Linked DNA regions of Notamacropus eugenii. The protein of the gene in region 1 binds, or shares a complex with, the protein of each later gene. Links are inferred from orthologs where the notes say so. Each region holds a gene or a part of one and is shown in the gene's direction. Other genes may lie near its edges.

Evidence for each region. Proteins that work in one complex are often made in the same cells at the same time.
Region 2: POLE2 (region 1) and POLE4 share a complex: the UniProt entries of both Homo sapiens proteins name them as parts of the DNA polymerase epsilon complex. The link is inferred for Notamacropus eugenii from reciprocal best matches to the Homo sapiens genes POLE2 and POLE4.

Annotation. Positions count from the first base shown.
Region 1 is NC_092872.1:309,331,584-309,339,676, forward strand, and holds the start of POLE2 (DNA polymerase epsilon subunit 2), read left to right. Parts: upstream 1-4,588; 5' UTR 4,589-4,646; coding exon 4,647-4,714; intron 4,715-8,093. UniProt on the Homo sapiens protein: Accessory component of the DNA polymerase epsilon complex. Participates in DNA repair and in chromosomal DNA replication.
Region 2 is NC_092872.1:630,209,622-630,217,914, reverse strand, and holds the start of POLE4 (DNA polymerase epsilon subunit 4), read left to right. Parts: upstream 1-4,837; 5' UTR 4,838-4,884; coding exon 4,885-5,127; intron 5,128-8,073; coding exon 8,074-8,158; intron 8,159-8,293. UniProt on the Homo sapiens protein: Accessory component of the DNA polymerase epsilon complex. Participates in DNA repair and in chromosomal DNA replication.

The DNA of each region.
Region 1 (8,093 bases):
AGCTAGTTCTGGGGGTTGACAAGTTTTCAGTTCTTCCAAGGTGGTATGGTTTAAGGAGTGGTGTGATGTGCTCTCCTGGCCTGTTTTCTGGTTTGTAAGTGACCACAAGCTCTCTTTTATACCCTGGAACTGTATCCAGGGTCTCTGCTTCTGCTAGTGCACCTCCTAATCCTGAGACTATGACCCAGAACCATGTATGGGCAATGCAACAGAGGCCGCCTCCAGGGCCAACAAAGGGTGCCCTGAAATGTCCTTTTGACCAACTATCTGAAAACCCTTACCATCTGTGGACTAAGAACTCTGGAAGCTACAGCCCTCAAGACCTGCTCCTGACTTGTTGGGGCATGGCCTGTACTGGTGCAGCCTATGCTAGACTTTTCTCCACTCTTACCCCAGTGAGATAGATCTTTCCTATCAACCTTCTGAGTTGTCTTGGGTTGGTCAATTATTTCACCCCTTTCTTTTGCTGGTCCTGCCACTTCAGAATTTGTTTTGAGGCATTATTTTAAAATTGTTTGGAGGGGAATTTTGGAGAGTTCAGGTGAATTCTTAGCCTGTACTCTACCATTGTGGCTCTGACCCCAAAGTATAATCTTGAAACAGTAGCTTTATCATTATAATTCTGAATAGCAGAATTGGTGTCCTTACTCTCAGAAGTCATATCCTTGACAAATTGATCCTATCTTAGGAAAGAGAATAAGTTTTTCAGTCCTGAAGTTTTTTGGCCCTGGCCTTTAATAATACTTAGCCAGTAAAGATGGACTGTTTTTGGGCATGGTTATATTCTTTACCTTTTCTATCCCCAGTATGAAGCTGCTAAGAGTTTGAGGTCCCAATGGTTCAGGTTGTCCTCACTTGGAAAATTGTTTCATAGCATGTTTAGACAATGCCTCCTCAGAAAGGAATTTGGAGGACCAAGGGGTACAGATGTTGAGGGGTACCTTCCTTTCCAATGCCAAGACCAACAGGCCTTTCATCTTCTCTGACATTGACACCTAAGGTCTCCAGTACTGTTATCTGTCCCATCTATGTTACCTAAGGATCCCTGGTTTTTTTCATCTGTCTCATCACCCTGAGAACTTCTGGGCCTTTCTATGTGCCTTGTAGCTGAACTTTCTTTTCTGTTGTCTCCTCTTATTACAAGGTAAGGTCTTGAGAGTAGGAACTGGATTACTTTTAATATCTATAACCCCAAACCTCAGCACAGTGCTTGGCACATAGTAAGCATTTCATAAATCCTTTTTCATTTGCTCATTCATGGGGAAAACCACCTCTACTTAATTATAGTTAATGTGAACTTACATAGAAGAAAGTGAATCCCTTAGTTGACTTGGTAACAATATTGTGTTCCTAGATGAAAGTGAGGAAGAGTCTTTTCCCACTCCCCGTGAAGGAAGAACACAGCCCCTCAGAAGAATCCTCTAAAGGGGCAAAGATTCAGGATTGCCCTTCTCCCCCATGGTGCTCCTAGGGAGAGAGAGGTCCTGGCTAGTGGGCCTAGGATCACTGCGTGGGCTGTGATATAAAGCAAATCTCTATATCAACTTTGGCCTTGGGATAGGTTGCCTATAAGAGGTAATACTTAGCTACCTTAGTACAGATGATCTAGATGGTATGGATAGAACTCTGGGTCTGGAGTCATGAAAACCTGAGTTTAGATTTGGCCTAAAACACTTATTCACTGAATAATCTTGGGCAAGTCAATTAAGCTCTATCTGCTTCAGTTTCCTTATCAAATTGCAAATAAGTTATCCTTATCAAATTGCAATTGGTCTCAAAAGGGGACAATAATTGCACCTACCTCCCAGGTGTTATGAAGATAAAATGAGATCTTTGAAAATGGTTTGCAAACCTTAAAGTATAAATGCTAATTATTATTATTGCCCTTACAAAGGAGGAAACGTTCAAATCTGAAAGACAAATGGAAGGAAAGAACTAATACTGTACACCTACGTTCTGGTTCCACAGTCTTACCTGGCTTGCCTCACAGCAAGGATACCCCTCTCCTTTTGGGGGAGTATAAAAATAGCCAGTCAGAGATCAGTCTCTGGAAGAGAGAGTGGAAGGACAACCCCTTACGCCCTGCTCATCACTCTCTTTACTTATATCTATGTGTATATGTATCTGTCTATATATTCATATATATATGTGCATACTTGTAAATATATGTGTGTGTTTTAAGGTTTACTAAGGAGTATGTAAACACATAAAAAATAGCAAAGAAACTCATTTATCTAAATCCTAGCAAAACAGAAATCAGAGAAATAGGTGAATACATATCAAACAATATAGAGTGAAAGAGCTCTTCCACTGGGAGTGAGGTAACTCAGCTCCACCAAGACTGTCCTTGATCTCATCCAAGGAGAAACTCACTGTAGTCTCTAGTGTAGCAAGCTGGAGATAGGGACATGATGAAGACTGCCGTTTCCATTCATATCTTCTCAGAGTCTTTTCCTTCAGCAGCCTGAGTTGTGAACTGCCTCTCCCATTTTTCATTTCTAAGTGCCAGAATCACCCACAATGACTCAAAGCTTGAAGACCAGAAGCTTGATAGAGGGCTCTCACCTGAAGAGTCTCTGAAGAATCCTAAAGGAGGACTGGTAAAGTCCACACAGGGCAGGGCATGGATCTCCATGAATAAGGCGAGTGTCCCCTACCAATCAATGATCTTTGGAACAGGGGTTTCTTGCTTGTTGTCAATTCAGTTATGTCTAGCTCTTTGTGACTTCATTTGGAGTTTTCTTGGCAAAGATACTGGAATGGTTTGCCATTTCCTTCTCCAGCTCATTCTTACAGGTGGGGAACTGAGGCAAACGGTTACGTGACTTGCCCAGGATCATACAGCTAATAAGTGTCTGAGGCCAGATATGAACTCAGAAAGATGAGTCTTACTGACTTCAAGATCAGCACTCTTTTTCATTCAAGGATATACATTGATATTCATTGTCCTCAGCACCATGCCACCTAGCTACTGAGAGAATTTACACTTGTAAATTTACATGGTTTGTACATAGTTTGTTTTCATGTTGTCTCCCTCCCTCCACAAATAGATTTTAAGCTCCTTGAAGACATGGACTTTTAAATTTTTCATCCTTTTTTATAGTAAGTGTATAATTCATTTTTTAAAGTCTAGACTTGATTATAGTCCATATGTTTTCAATGGAGTTTAAATCAGGTGAGTTCCTAGCCCATTGACTTCAACGTTTATGTACATCTCTTAGACAAATTTCTTGATGTGTTACATTGTAAGTTGCAGTATTTTATCTCCATTGGAGAATTTCTGTAATTCTGGAACGATTCTGCTTTTTAAGCACACCAATCTATTATGGTTCATAATGAACAGGGACAAGATTTCCAGCTTCGCTATAAGTTAAAAAAAAATCCCCAAAACATTTTTGGTTGTATGTCTTACAGTCTAATGAAGATCAATTAACAAGTATTTATTAGGAGTCTATTATGTGTGCTAGCTATTGATGATAAAAATATGAGTGAAACAATCCCTGCTTGCAAGCAGCTTACAGATATAGGCTCACCCAGACTTCTGACAATGGTTTGGTATATCCTTGAATGAAAAAGCAAATTTCACCAGCTAAAAATAGGTTTTTTTTCAATCTTTAGCTTGGGATGAGCCTTTATTCCTTAATAGCAGTGGGATGAGCCTTTATTCCTTAATAGCAGTGGTTAGTAGCTTTCCTTCGTGCTTCTGTTCATCTGAGCCTGGTTCATTGTAAGCCTGAATGATCCTTTACCTCTTCACCCCAACAGCTACTGCAGTAACTAACAGCTGTTGAAGTGTTCTCTTTAAGAGCCGTACCTTTTCCAAGTTTTCCTGCACTAATATCCACGCTTGGAAGGAAAAGTTAAAGATGCACCAAAAGAGAGCAGTGACACTGACATAGTACAAGCTATCCAAAGCCCAGCTGAAGAAGAGTCTGGGGAAGGTCGGAATTTTTAAGCTAGAGGGAGGGTAGCAGACCGGAAGTAAGCCTACTGCTCCCTTAAGCTTTGGTCTGGGAGGTTGGATCGGACTCCACCTAACTAGCTAAATAACACCTCGTCCTTTCTGTGGCGAAGGGGGTTGTTGGCCTACTGTTAGAAGCTCGTTAGACCACGGCTGTCCCCACATACGGAAAAGCTACAGGTCGTCCCAAGTCGTTAGATGCCAGCTCCTCAGGCGGGAGGGGTCTAAGCCCCAGCAGGCGGGGTAGCGCCCCGAAGGTCGTCGTGTTCAAGGTGGCGGCTGAACTGAAGTTAGAACAAAACAGCTATTCTAGAGTCGCAAAGGTGAGGACATGATAGTGCCTTCCAGGTACAAACAGCTTAGCGCCGTGTCTCACTCTTTTGAAGTCCAGGATGAGCCTTCCTTTAAAAAAATAAAAGTCTGGCTAGTAGCTGACCCTAAAACCAGCCCGTTCCAAACGCATGCCTTTGTTAACATCGCCAGAGGACTTTTCTCTTAAAGGGGGAAAGGAAGCGCTTCCGGGTCAAAACGAACCGAGGGGCCACCAGACAGGGCGCTGCAGCGCTCCGTTCGAGGCCACGGGGGCTGGCACAACTTCCGGGGAGGGGCGGGGCTGGGGGCGGGTCCTGCGGAAAAGGAGGGGAAGGCGAAGGAGGCTGGGCCGCCTTGGCGCCAAAATCCGAAGATGGCGCCGGATCGGTTGCGGAGCAAAGTGGTCTCTGCCTTTAAACTGCGGGGCTATCTGCTCCGGGGGTGAGTTCTCTCGGGGCACGTTTGGTGAAGGGGGGGGGGTGCGGGAAGGAGGCGGGTCCGGACAACGCCCGGGCCCCCCATCTGGGCTCGGCGCGCCCCAGCCCGGGCTGGGGAAATCTGAGTCCGACTTCCCGAGGAAGGAGGGAGATGGAAGCATTTATTAAGCGCCCACTGTTACCGGTGCTGGCCGTACAGAGCGAGGCAGAGGACAAGCCCTGCTGTCCTAGATCTTCCAGTCTAATGACAGGAAGCGACAGGTGCGGGATAAACGGAGGTGATCCGCAGGGCCGAGGGAGTGCAGGGGCCGTCTGCAGTGCAGGGGTCTGAGCTGAGTCTTGATAGAGGTGAGGAGGCACTGAGTACAGACTGTGCAAAGGCGCGGATTCCGGAGACGGAGAGAAGCCAGTGACGCCGACAGGTAAGGCGGGCCAGGTGGTGAAGGACTTTGAAAGCCAAACAGGATTCTATAGGTCAGGAAGTCACTGAGTTGTAAGAGGACAAACTGGCCAGCCATATTCCATTTTTTAAAAAAAATATATTTATTTTTAGTTTACAACATTCAGTTCCACAAAGCTTTTGAGTGTTAAATTTCCCGCCCCCTCCCTAAGACAGCGGGCAATTTGATATAGGCTTTACATATACATTCGTATTCAACATATTTTCACATTAGTCATGTTGCAAAGAAGGATTAAAACCAATGGAATGAGCCACGAGAAAGAAGAAACAAAAAAAAAAAGGGAGAGCAAATAGTGTGCTTCGATCTCCTTTCAGACTCCTTAATTCTTTCTCTGGACGTGGACAGCATTTTCTATCAGGAGCATTTGGAGTTGTCTTAGAACCTTGCATTGTGAGAAGAGAAGAGCTAAGTCTATCAGTTGGTCATCACACAACCTGGCTGCAGCTGTGTGCAGTGGGTCAGCATTTCTTACAGCACCATAAGATCCCATCACATTCCCCTACCACTGCTTGTTCAGTCATCCCCCAGCTGATGGGCATCCCCTCGATTTCCAGTTCTTGGCCACCACAAAGAGAGCTGCTATAAATATTTGTGTACATGTGGGCCCTTTTCCCATTATGATGTCTTCGGGATACAGAGAAGTGGTATTGCACTTTTTTATAGCCCTTTTGGGTGCATATATATATATAATATACATATATATATATATATACACTAATTTAAAAAAAAAAAAACCTTGGCTAAGCCAAGAAAATGGAGCATTAAATTATTTTACTGTGAACTCGCAAATAACTAAAGAGTTGTATAGGCATTTAAATTTGTGAATTAAGTCAACAAGTGTTTATTTAAATTCTGACTAATCCTAGCACTCTTAGGTGCAATGGGTTAAGAAAAATAGTCTAAAATAGCTCCTGCTCATAAGGAACAATCTTGTTGTTAAGACGAGGTTCAGTTCTTTTCAGCAAATAAAGAGTACAACATATTGACTGCAAAGTATAATGGATAATGTGAGATTGTTTATGAAGGTGCTTTAAAACTGTAGAGTGCTATACAGATGCAAGATATTATTCATAATTGCTTTAAGTAGAACATGATAAAGTATCATAAAAGATACAAAGTACTATGGAAGTTCAGAGTGGGGAAATGTTCTTTCCTGTTGGGATTAGGGGAAACCTTATGCAGGTATTAGAGCTGTGCATTAAAAGGATGGGTAGGATGTGGGGAAGGGATTCTAAGAGGAAGAAGCAGTGAGATAAAATGTATGTATATGTGAAAACATATGACATATTGTAGGAATGGGATCATTTGTCTAGCAGGTTGTGTTTACAGATTAAAAAAAAGATCCAGAGAGGTTGGGTGAAGTGAATTTTAAAAATATTTTTATATCCAGTTTTCATTTTTATACAGAATTACCAAATAGTTCTCTGACCCCTAGTCTAAGTAGAAACTGTTTCTAAAATTCTTTTTAAAAGCATTTCTTTTGACTTTTAATTTTTGTCTGTGTTTAAAATTCCCAGTCATAAGAAATTTGTCTTAAATGCAAAATGTCTAAAAAGATCAAGTATGTTATTTTAAGCTCATTTGAAAAGTCTGTTATTTGATCTACGTCATTTTTTTCAACTACTCTGATTTTCCATTGTATATATAATATCAGGGACATGGGTGATTCAGTGATGCCAACTGAATCTTAGCCATGTCTGTTCATTACATGCTACTCCTATATTCACTGTGGGTAGTCCATCCAATGGTGTAGGAACCCTTACTTTATTCTCTTGATGTTACATGCATTCTAGTGGAGCACATGGGCTGCCTTTTGGTTATCCCTCCTAGTCATTAGGAAATGAATCCAGCCATTTTTTTTTTCTGGTCATACATTTCTTTGATGACTCCTTTGATACTGCTCCTTTTTTGTTTTTTGTTTGTAATGTATTACAGGCTATATAGGCCCATCATCTACCATTTCATCCCCCTTTTGGGTGATCCCCAGTTTCAGTTCTATACAGAACAAATGAATAAAGCATTTATTAAGTGCTTACTATGTGTACTGGGGATAAGCTCACAATCTAATGGGGGACACAGCACATGGAAAGTTTCAGTTGCAAATTAGATGGAAAAATCCTGTAGACCTTAGAGTGCAGTGGCAAAAACAGATGTTAATGCCTCTTCTTTAATGTCATTGGTCCCTAGGTTTTTGGGTTCAGGGTTCTGGAGATGTGGTATTGGTATTTTACGTGAAGTCAGAACTGGATACACATTTTTCTGGAGTGGCTGCAGTGCAGGGGAGAACTGTGAAGCTAGTGTAGATTTTGCAATCAAAGAGGTGATCCAAGGACACTCTCAAGGTCTCTCTCAAGAACTTTGGAATTGATTGTGTGATATGGGAGACACTGACACAGGACCACTCAGCATGGTGTGCCCACATCAGCGAAGGTGCTGTGCTCTATGAGCAAAGCAGAATTAAGACAGCACAAAGGAAGCATAGGAAGTGCAAATTTAGAGTGTCTACCACAGATGTTCACACAGACTCTCTGTGCCCAATCTGTAGTAGAGCATTCCGAGCTTGTATGGGTCTGATCAGCCACAGTCGGACACATTGAAACTTGACTTTATCATAGTGATATCATTTTGGTTCTATTCAAGGATGAAGGTCAACAACCAGCCAACCATCCTGGCAAATATCTCTTCCCATCTCTCCTTCAGGGTACCTTTCCTGCTTCATCAGCTCAGGTGGCTTGCCTACCCTGTGGGTGGAGTTGGCGGGAAGGTACAGAGGCCCAGCCCCTCCTTCACAGGAGTTGCTTCCCCAGATAATGGCAGTGAGGTTTGTGCTGGAAGCAGGTCTGGTTGTTTGGTGGGCACTGCTATTCCCAAGACTCTTTGGTTCGGGGTTCTTGGCTTTCCCCTTCAGGGTATTGGGGGAAA
Region 2 (8,293 bases), about 320 Mb from region 1:
GAGGGTTCCAACATTCTTCTGGTCATTCAGATTTGTGATTTCCAGGTCATCCTTGACTCTTCGCTTTCCCTCAATTTCTAATTAGTTGCCAAGTCTTTTTCTGGGAAGCTTTAGGCAGCATTCTAAGACTACAATCTACAGAATCTGTACCAGCCTACGATGGTACAAGGAGCTTTCCCATCTGGCAGTTCACTAGACCAACGAATTCACAGATCTTTATCCCTTACACTGTATATATTTTAAAATTTACTTTATATAGGTGCAGCCCCTCTGATTGAAGGGCTGAGGATAGAGGAATAAACTCCTCAAACATTGCTTTCCCAACTAGGTGGTACAATGGCTAGAGTGCAGGGCCTAGAGTCTGGAAGATTTATCTTTCTGAGTTCAAGCCTGCCCTTAGACATGTATCTGACCTTGGGCAGGTCATTTAACCCTGTTTGCCTCAGTTTCCTCATCTGTCAAATGAGTTGGAGAAGGACATGGCAAACCAATCTAGTGTCTTTGCCAAGAAAACCCCCAAATAGGGTCATAAAAAGTTGAACATGATTCAACAACAAACTTCTCTTTAGGAGGGTTCAAAATCTTCCAGCTAATTTTATTTCTTATCAATTGCTCTGCTTGGTTTGGACTCCAAGATCATTATAACCCCCCTCCCCACAAACGTCTCCCTTCAGTTATTTGTTGCCATTTTCTTCCCTAATTAGAATATAAGCTTCTTGAGGACAAGGATTGTTTTTCTTTCTCTTATCTGTATCACCAGTGTTTAACCACTTATTAACGTTTATTTTCCCCCTGGGGAGTAGTTTGCATAGCTCACTGAAAGTATGTACTATGCCATGCAGGGTTACCCAAGACAGATAGGTCATAGTAGAAAGTTCTGACATCAGGCAATGCACTGGAGAAGGGAATGGTCAACCACTCCAGGATCTTTGCCAAGAAAACCCCATGGACAGTACTAAGATAAAAGAGATGACATCTGGCCTCTTAGGTCAGAAAGTATCCAATACGATACTGGGCAAGAGCGGGCTGGTTTTCAAAGAAGCAAAGGAATTAGAGATCAATTGCAGCATTCACTGGATTATGGAGAAAGTAAGGGATTTCCAGAAAAATATCTTCTGCTTCATTGATTACACTAAAGCCTTTGTGTGGATCACAACAAAATGTGGGAAGTCCTCAAAGAGATGTAAGAACCAGATCATCTTACTTATCTCCTGAGGAACCTATATGTGGGCCAAGAAGCAAGGTAGAACTGAACATGGAACAACTGGTTGGTTTTAAGATTAGAAAAGGAGTTTGACAAGGATTTATATTGTCACTTTATTTATTTAACTTATATGCAGAATATGTCAAGTGAAATATTAGGCTGTATGAATCAAAAACCAGTATTAAGGTTGCCAGGAGAAATAGCAACAATCTCAGATATTCAGATTATACCAGCCTAATAGCAGAAAGTGAAGATGAATTAAGATACCTCTTGATAAGAGTGAAAGAGGAGAGTGTAAAAGCTGGCTTAAAGTTTAACACACACACACACACACACACACACACACACACACACACACACACAACACCCCAAATCCCTAAGATCTTGGCAACTGGTCCCATCAGTTTCTGGCAAATAGAGGGAGAAGAAATGGAATCAGTGTCAGATTTTATATTCTTGGGCTCAAAAATCATTGCAATCAGTGACTGCAACAATGGAATTAAAACATGCTTGCTCCTTGAAAGGAAAGCTATGGAAAATCTGGACAGTATACTAAAAAGCAGAGACATCACCTTGTTGACAGAGGCCTATTAGTCAAAGCCATGATATTTCCAGTAGTAACATATAGCTGTGAGAGCTGGACTATAAGGAAAGCTGAGCTCCGCAGAATTGATGTTTTCCAATCATGGTGCTGGAGAAGACTTTTGAGAGTCCCTGCAACAGCAAAGAGATCAAATCAATCAACATTTAAAGGTTATTCATTGGAAGGTCAAACACTGAAACTGAAATATTTTGGCCACATGATGAGACAATGGGACTCATGGAAAAAGACTCTGATATTGGGAAAGATTGAAGACAAAAAGAAAAGGGGAGGGCAGAGGATGAGATAGATAATGTCACTGAAGCAATGAATACAAACTTGGACACACTTCAAGAGACAGCGGAGGACAGAAGGGTCTGGTGTCCAAGGGGTTGCAAGAGTTGGAAACTACTGAACAACAAAAATGTTTATGGACTATTGACTCTACGGTCCCCCCCAGCTCTAAATCTATGCCTTGGATATCTGCTTTACTGATTGAACTCTACTGATTGAAGATGAGTTAAATAATAATTCCCTATGGGTCATTTACTTACTTGAATATCCTGATCCCTGGGCTATGTGAAAAACGGATCTGGGAAGTGCCGGGGACCATCTGAGGCTTGATGCTATGAGACTATAGCCTTTAAGGGCTGGGTGTTCTAACGGCCTTGACCTCTTTGTTTTCAGTACAGCAAAGAAATTTAAAAGAAAAAAAGTCATTTATTGCAATAAAGAAGCCTGCACTGAAAAAAATACCTCTAGTTTGTGGCTGACCTTATAAATATGCAACAGATCAAAAAAATATGGAAGATGTTAATGAAAATTTTGAGACAGTAACATTATTTCCTCAATACTCATAAAGCATATCATCACAGAACTTCTTACATTTTTACAATACGGCTAAGTTCACCTTCCTGATGTCATGGCCCTCTCCATGTCACTCCCCTTCCTGGTATCACCTCCTCCCTTTGGCCTTATATTATCAAAATGAAAACTTTTGTAAGGACTGCGAATTGTTTGCTCTTGCTTTGATTTTCATATGCATGTTCATTCTTCTTGTAATAAACCTAGTTTTCACATAAGTTTTGTGAAGGTATGATTTCCTGTTGATGTTAATAGAGGTAAACCCTCAGGTGTTGTATATCCTGAGAATTCTTGTGCCTACAAAGCAGTTCTATCCAGAGGGGAAACTAAGACCCAGAGACTTTTCTGAGGTCACAAAGACAGCAAACAGTAGAGCCAGAAATTGAATCCAGGTCCTCTGACTTTATATCTAGTGCTTGCACCCCTAAACCATGCTAAATTAAAGGACAATGAAAAGAACAAAAGAAGGTGGCGGCAGGTTTAAGAGGTTTAGGGACCACCCCCTCCCCCCTAAGGACTGAAGTGCAGGAAAGGGTTGTCTGTAATGAATTCTTGGACTCAAGCATTCTTTAAGTCAAGGTGACAAAGGTTTATTGTAATGCTTTGGGCAGAGTCCTTTAGGGAACCTGTATTCCCTAAGAAACTTGCAATTTAGCATGAATGATGCTAAAGTTTACATAGGAAAAGTAGTGGATTATCTGGCAGATATGCTAATTAGGTGATAATTTACAACCTTTATCATAGGCCAATTTACAACTTATAACTGTGGTCATCCACTACTGGAAACCAGGGGAAGGGGTTTCTCAGGAATGTATTTTTGGTCTGTTACTCTCTAGTAAGATAGCTTTGAGAATTGATGTGTGTAGTTTGACCTGTGGATTGAATATAATAACTTTGGGATTGATACATGATAATTCTGTGATTACAAGATAGTCCTGTTTTTACAAGAGAATTTCTTCAGAGGTCAACTTGTTCTTGTGATGGGGAAAGATTGTTTTACTGGAGTCCACTCATGAGTAATTGTGGGGGGAAATAGTTCGTCTTACTGCGACCCACTCATGAGTTCTTGCTAGGCATAGTGTCCTTGGGTTGGAGAGAAAACCGTGAGGGATAACGTTTTGAAGCTAGGGAGAAATGTGATCTTGGAATTGGGGTCCAAGCACAAGCACCCAAGCAGCCCATCAGCGGGAGATAGAAACAGGAAAGGAAATTTGTAACAGTGGGAAGGTCTAAGAGATGAAAGAAGACATTCCTCAAAATTCATTTCCTGCAGGGTCACCACTTTCTCTGTTTGCTCAGCACCCAAGGGGCTCCATTGGCGCTTAATTTCTTTGGGCTGGTTGAAAGATTTCCAGGTGTTGTGTAGAACCTGTCTCATGGGCTTCCTGATGGCCACATGGTTTTCTCTCCATGCAGACCTCCGCACTGGGCAGAAGCTCAGAGGGTTTGGATTGACACACAGTCACTCCGTAGGGTGGAGAACCTGAGCTGGGCACTTGTGGAAAGTTTCACCGAGCCTGGAAACAATGTATCCTTACTTTAGTTCCTTTAAGGCCAGACCATACAGCAAGTCTTCCCTGAACCTTCCGACCCTCCCCACCGACCTGGCGCTGGCATCTCACACAGCACTTTGTTTAGAACCTATCCCATGCCCTTACGTACAGTTAAAAACAATTGACTTTTATTTCTCGACCCTCTACCAGAGCCGTGAGCTCCAGGAGGGCAAGGGCGTTGTTTTGTCGGGCAATTCGGTGCGGTGGAAAGGGCCTTGCTCTAAATCTTTCCCCCGACGCTGACTTGCTATGTGACCTTGAACATCATTTCCCCTAGTCCGGGCCTCAGTTTCCCCCTGTGCCAACTGGGGTTTAATGAATGAATAAACAAGGAAGTGGACCCTTTCAGGTTTCAGCCTGGGATCTAAACTCAGCATTTAGCGCAGACGGCTGAATTTTCGTAAATGGTTGAGAAACCCAGGCGTCCTGCGGTGGGCTGATCCTCAAGGTGGGCCAGGACGATAAGACAGAAAAAGCGACTGGAGGAGGATTCGGCCACTGCCACCAGTAAATACGGTAATGCAGCCCAGCCGCTCCCCTGGAGGTGGTAGGGGCTGGGCTGGAGCTGACACGCGGCAAGAAGGGGCGGGGCCAGAGGGGATCCAGGGCGGGAAAAGGACAGGCGCCCGCGCGCTCGCGCCCCGGCTAGAGGAACGCGCACGCGGCACGCACAGGGGCTCGGGATGGCGGCGGCGGCGGCGGCCACGGCGGCGGGGTCGATCGGCCCGACGGCTGCGCCAGTGGCGGAGGAGGGCCCCAGTGGAGAGGCAGCGCCGGCGGCGGCCCCTCCTCCGCAGGCCCCGGCGGTGTCGGCCGCACCCCGCTTGTCGCGGTTGCCCCTGGCGCGGGTGAAGGCGCTGGTGAAGGCGGACCCAGACGTGACACTCGCGGGCCAGGAAGCCATCTTCATCCTGGCTCGCGCCGCGGTGCGCGCGGGCGGGACCTGGCGAGCTGGGGGTGGGGCCTGGCGAGCTAGGGGCGGGGCTGGGAGGGACTTAGTGGAAGTGGGTGGAGCTGGGGGCGGGGCCTAACCAGCTGCGTCGGGGAGATCCATGGACAAACTTGGTGCAAAACCTTTTAGGAAAACCTGGGTCTAAAAATCACATCAGACGCTTTTTAGCCGTGCCATCCTGGGTAAATCACTTAGATTTCTTTGAGCCTCAGTTTCCTCATCTGTAAAATGAGGAGGGCTCCTGCACTTCTAGAGCTGGAGAAGACCTCAGGAGCCATCTGCTCTAATCCTCTCATTTCGCAGGAGAGGAAACTGAGGCACAGGGAGGTGGAAAGACTTTCCCCAGATCGTGCAGGTGGGAAGCAGCAGAGCTGGGACTTGCACCTGGGTTCTCTGACTCCAGGACCAGTTCCTCCCCTATCCACTCTCAGTGACTTCTAATTCCCTGACTGTGGTCTGTGTTCCATGATAAGGGAGATGAATCTGATGGCAGTGTGAAGGAGGAGAGCTTAAGGGGAAAGACCTAGAGTAACAATCTAGGGTGGTGGTAACGGGGGCTGTGTAAGATTAAGTGCACAGGACTTGGTAGCTGATTGGATGCGGAAGGTGAGGGACAGGGAAGAATTAAAGATGGATAACACCAAGGTTTTGATAGGAACAGTGAAATTGGAAGGAGGAGCAGATTTTAGAGTTAAGATGTCATTCCAGTTTTGTGCATGTTGCTTTTGAGCAGCTGTCGGGACACTCAGGGGCAGATGTCCCTTGGGCAATTTACAGGTTTTAGATCTGAAAAAGATCTTATTTGTAGACACCAGAGGCTGGGAGAGAAATGAAGGGTAGAGATGATCAATTTGGGATTTTTCTATGATAGCTATACTGCTAAATTCTGTTTCTCGGTCATTTTCAGTTGTGTCTGACTCTGTGACCCCATTTAAGGTTTTCTTGGCAGAGATACTGGAGTGGTTTGCCATTTCCTTCTCCAAAATAAGTTGTTTTAGGTGCCACTTTTTAAGGAAGGACAATGACAAATTAGAGAATCCAAAGGAGGACACCTTGGATGCTGAGTGGTTTCAAGTTAATGTCCAGTGAAAATTATTTGAAGGAATTGGAGAGGTTTAGTCTAGAGAAGAGAAGGTGTACATGTGGGAGATGTGATAATTATCATAAAGTATTTGAATGACTGTCACATGGAAGAGGGATCAGGGGTTCTCTTTGGCCCCAGGGATCTAAACTAGGAGCAAAAGGTAGAAATTTCAACGATGCAAATTTAGACTTGAGGTGACGAATAACTTACCAGTTTTAGAGCTGTGCAAAGTGGAATGGACTACTTCAAGAAGTATTAGGCTCTGCCCCTTGGGAGCTCTCCCAGAGAGACTGGATGAGTACTTGTGGGGATATCTTACTCTGTATTTACTTTATATACTTAGTAGTATTCATGCTATAGTCTCTGGTAAGTTATAAGCTCCTTAAAGGAAGGGACTGTTAATTTTCTTAAGTCGGTATCTCTAGGGCCAAGAATAGTTCCTTGTTTCTCGCCCTTTACCACCACTCTCTTAAAAAAGTTTTTTTTGGCATTTCTGATTTCATTCATATAGGGAACTTCTGCTGAGGATATTTACTCTATCAGCAACTTTTCTACAATTAGTACTCTTCAAGTATGTTACTTCTGGCATTCAAAAGTTGTGACTTACCTAATCTCTGAAATTCTATAGGAGTAAATGAGATTGCCAAAAGAGAAAGCATATCAAGATGAAGGCTAAGCGCAAAACCTCATCAGGCACCCTCCTCTCTCCCTTTCCATACCTCAAAGAGCTGAGAAGAGATTGAGGAGCCAGGAAGGAGACAAAAGAGTGGCTAGAGAAGTAGGAAAACCAGGACAGTGGTGTTTCTGAAACTAAAGGAAGAGGAAAAGGGATTTATATAGGAAAGGTGTCAATCAGTGCTGTATCCTTCAGAGAGGTCAAGGACATTGATGGCCTTTGAGAGAGCAGTTTTAATAGAATACTGTGGTTGGAAGCCAGATTGCAGGAGGATCAAGTCTGACTTTGAAGGGATGAAAAGATAATGCAGTAGCTAGATGGGATAGAAGGGTCAAGGGAAAGCTTTCTAGGATTGGGGAGTATGTGTGGAAAGGGAGATATTGAAAATCCATGAGAGAGAAGGAATGATTTCGAGAATAAGGTCCTAGAGGCAGGAGGTTATGGGATCAAGTCCACTGGCTAGAAGACTAGCCTTAGTAAAAAAATAAATATATCTTCCTTTGAAAATGAAGGGGAGGAAGATAGAATGGGTGCTGATGCTCAGAAGCTTTGAGGAGTAATAGAGGGAATTTAAAGGCACTCCAATGTCATAGGGCACCTAGGTCGCACAACGGATGGAGTGATGGGACTGAAGTCAGGAAGACTCATCTTTGTGAATTCAAATCTGGCCTCAGACACTTACTAGCTATGTGACCCTGGACAAGTCGCCACACCCTGTTTGCCTTAGTTTCCTCATCTGTAAAATGAGCTGGGGAAGGAAATGGCAAACCAGTCCAGTATCTTTGCCAAGAAAACCCCAAATGGGGTCACGAAGAGTCAGACATGACTGAAACAATTGGACAACAACCCATTTGATAGCCTTAATCTTCTCAGTAAAGTAGAAAGCTGTTACCTGTTGTAAATGCTGAGGTTATGTGTATGATTGGGGGCTTGAGGAGAGAGGAGAAGTTTAGAACAGTGACTATGGGGAATTAGATAAGGAGTCAGTAAGAACAGGGAAGGAGTGTTGAATAAGGTTGTATTGATGTCTTAAAACTGACCACCTCCCTCTTCTTCTCTCTCACCTTCTGACCTTCTGCCTGCTTTCACTTGTCAGCAAGAAGCAGAGTTCTCCTACTTCATGCTGGGCCTCAGTTATATGATCTTTACTTTTGCCACAGGAACTGTTTGTGGAGACAATTGCAAGAGATGCCTACTTCTCTGCCCAACAAGGGAAAAGGAAAACTCTCCAGAGGAAAGACCTGGGTAAAGTCTCATTGTGTTTGTTTTTCATTCTACCTATCCAGAGGGTGACAGGGTCACATGTCTGAAATGCCCACTTTTAAGGTCTGTTAGCTTCAGGATGTGGGGAGGTGGGTTGCAAAGTGGGCCAGGAAATGA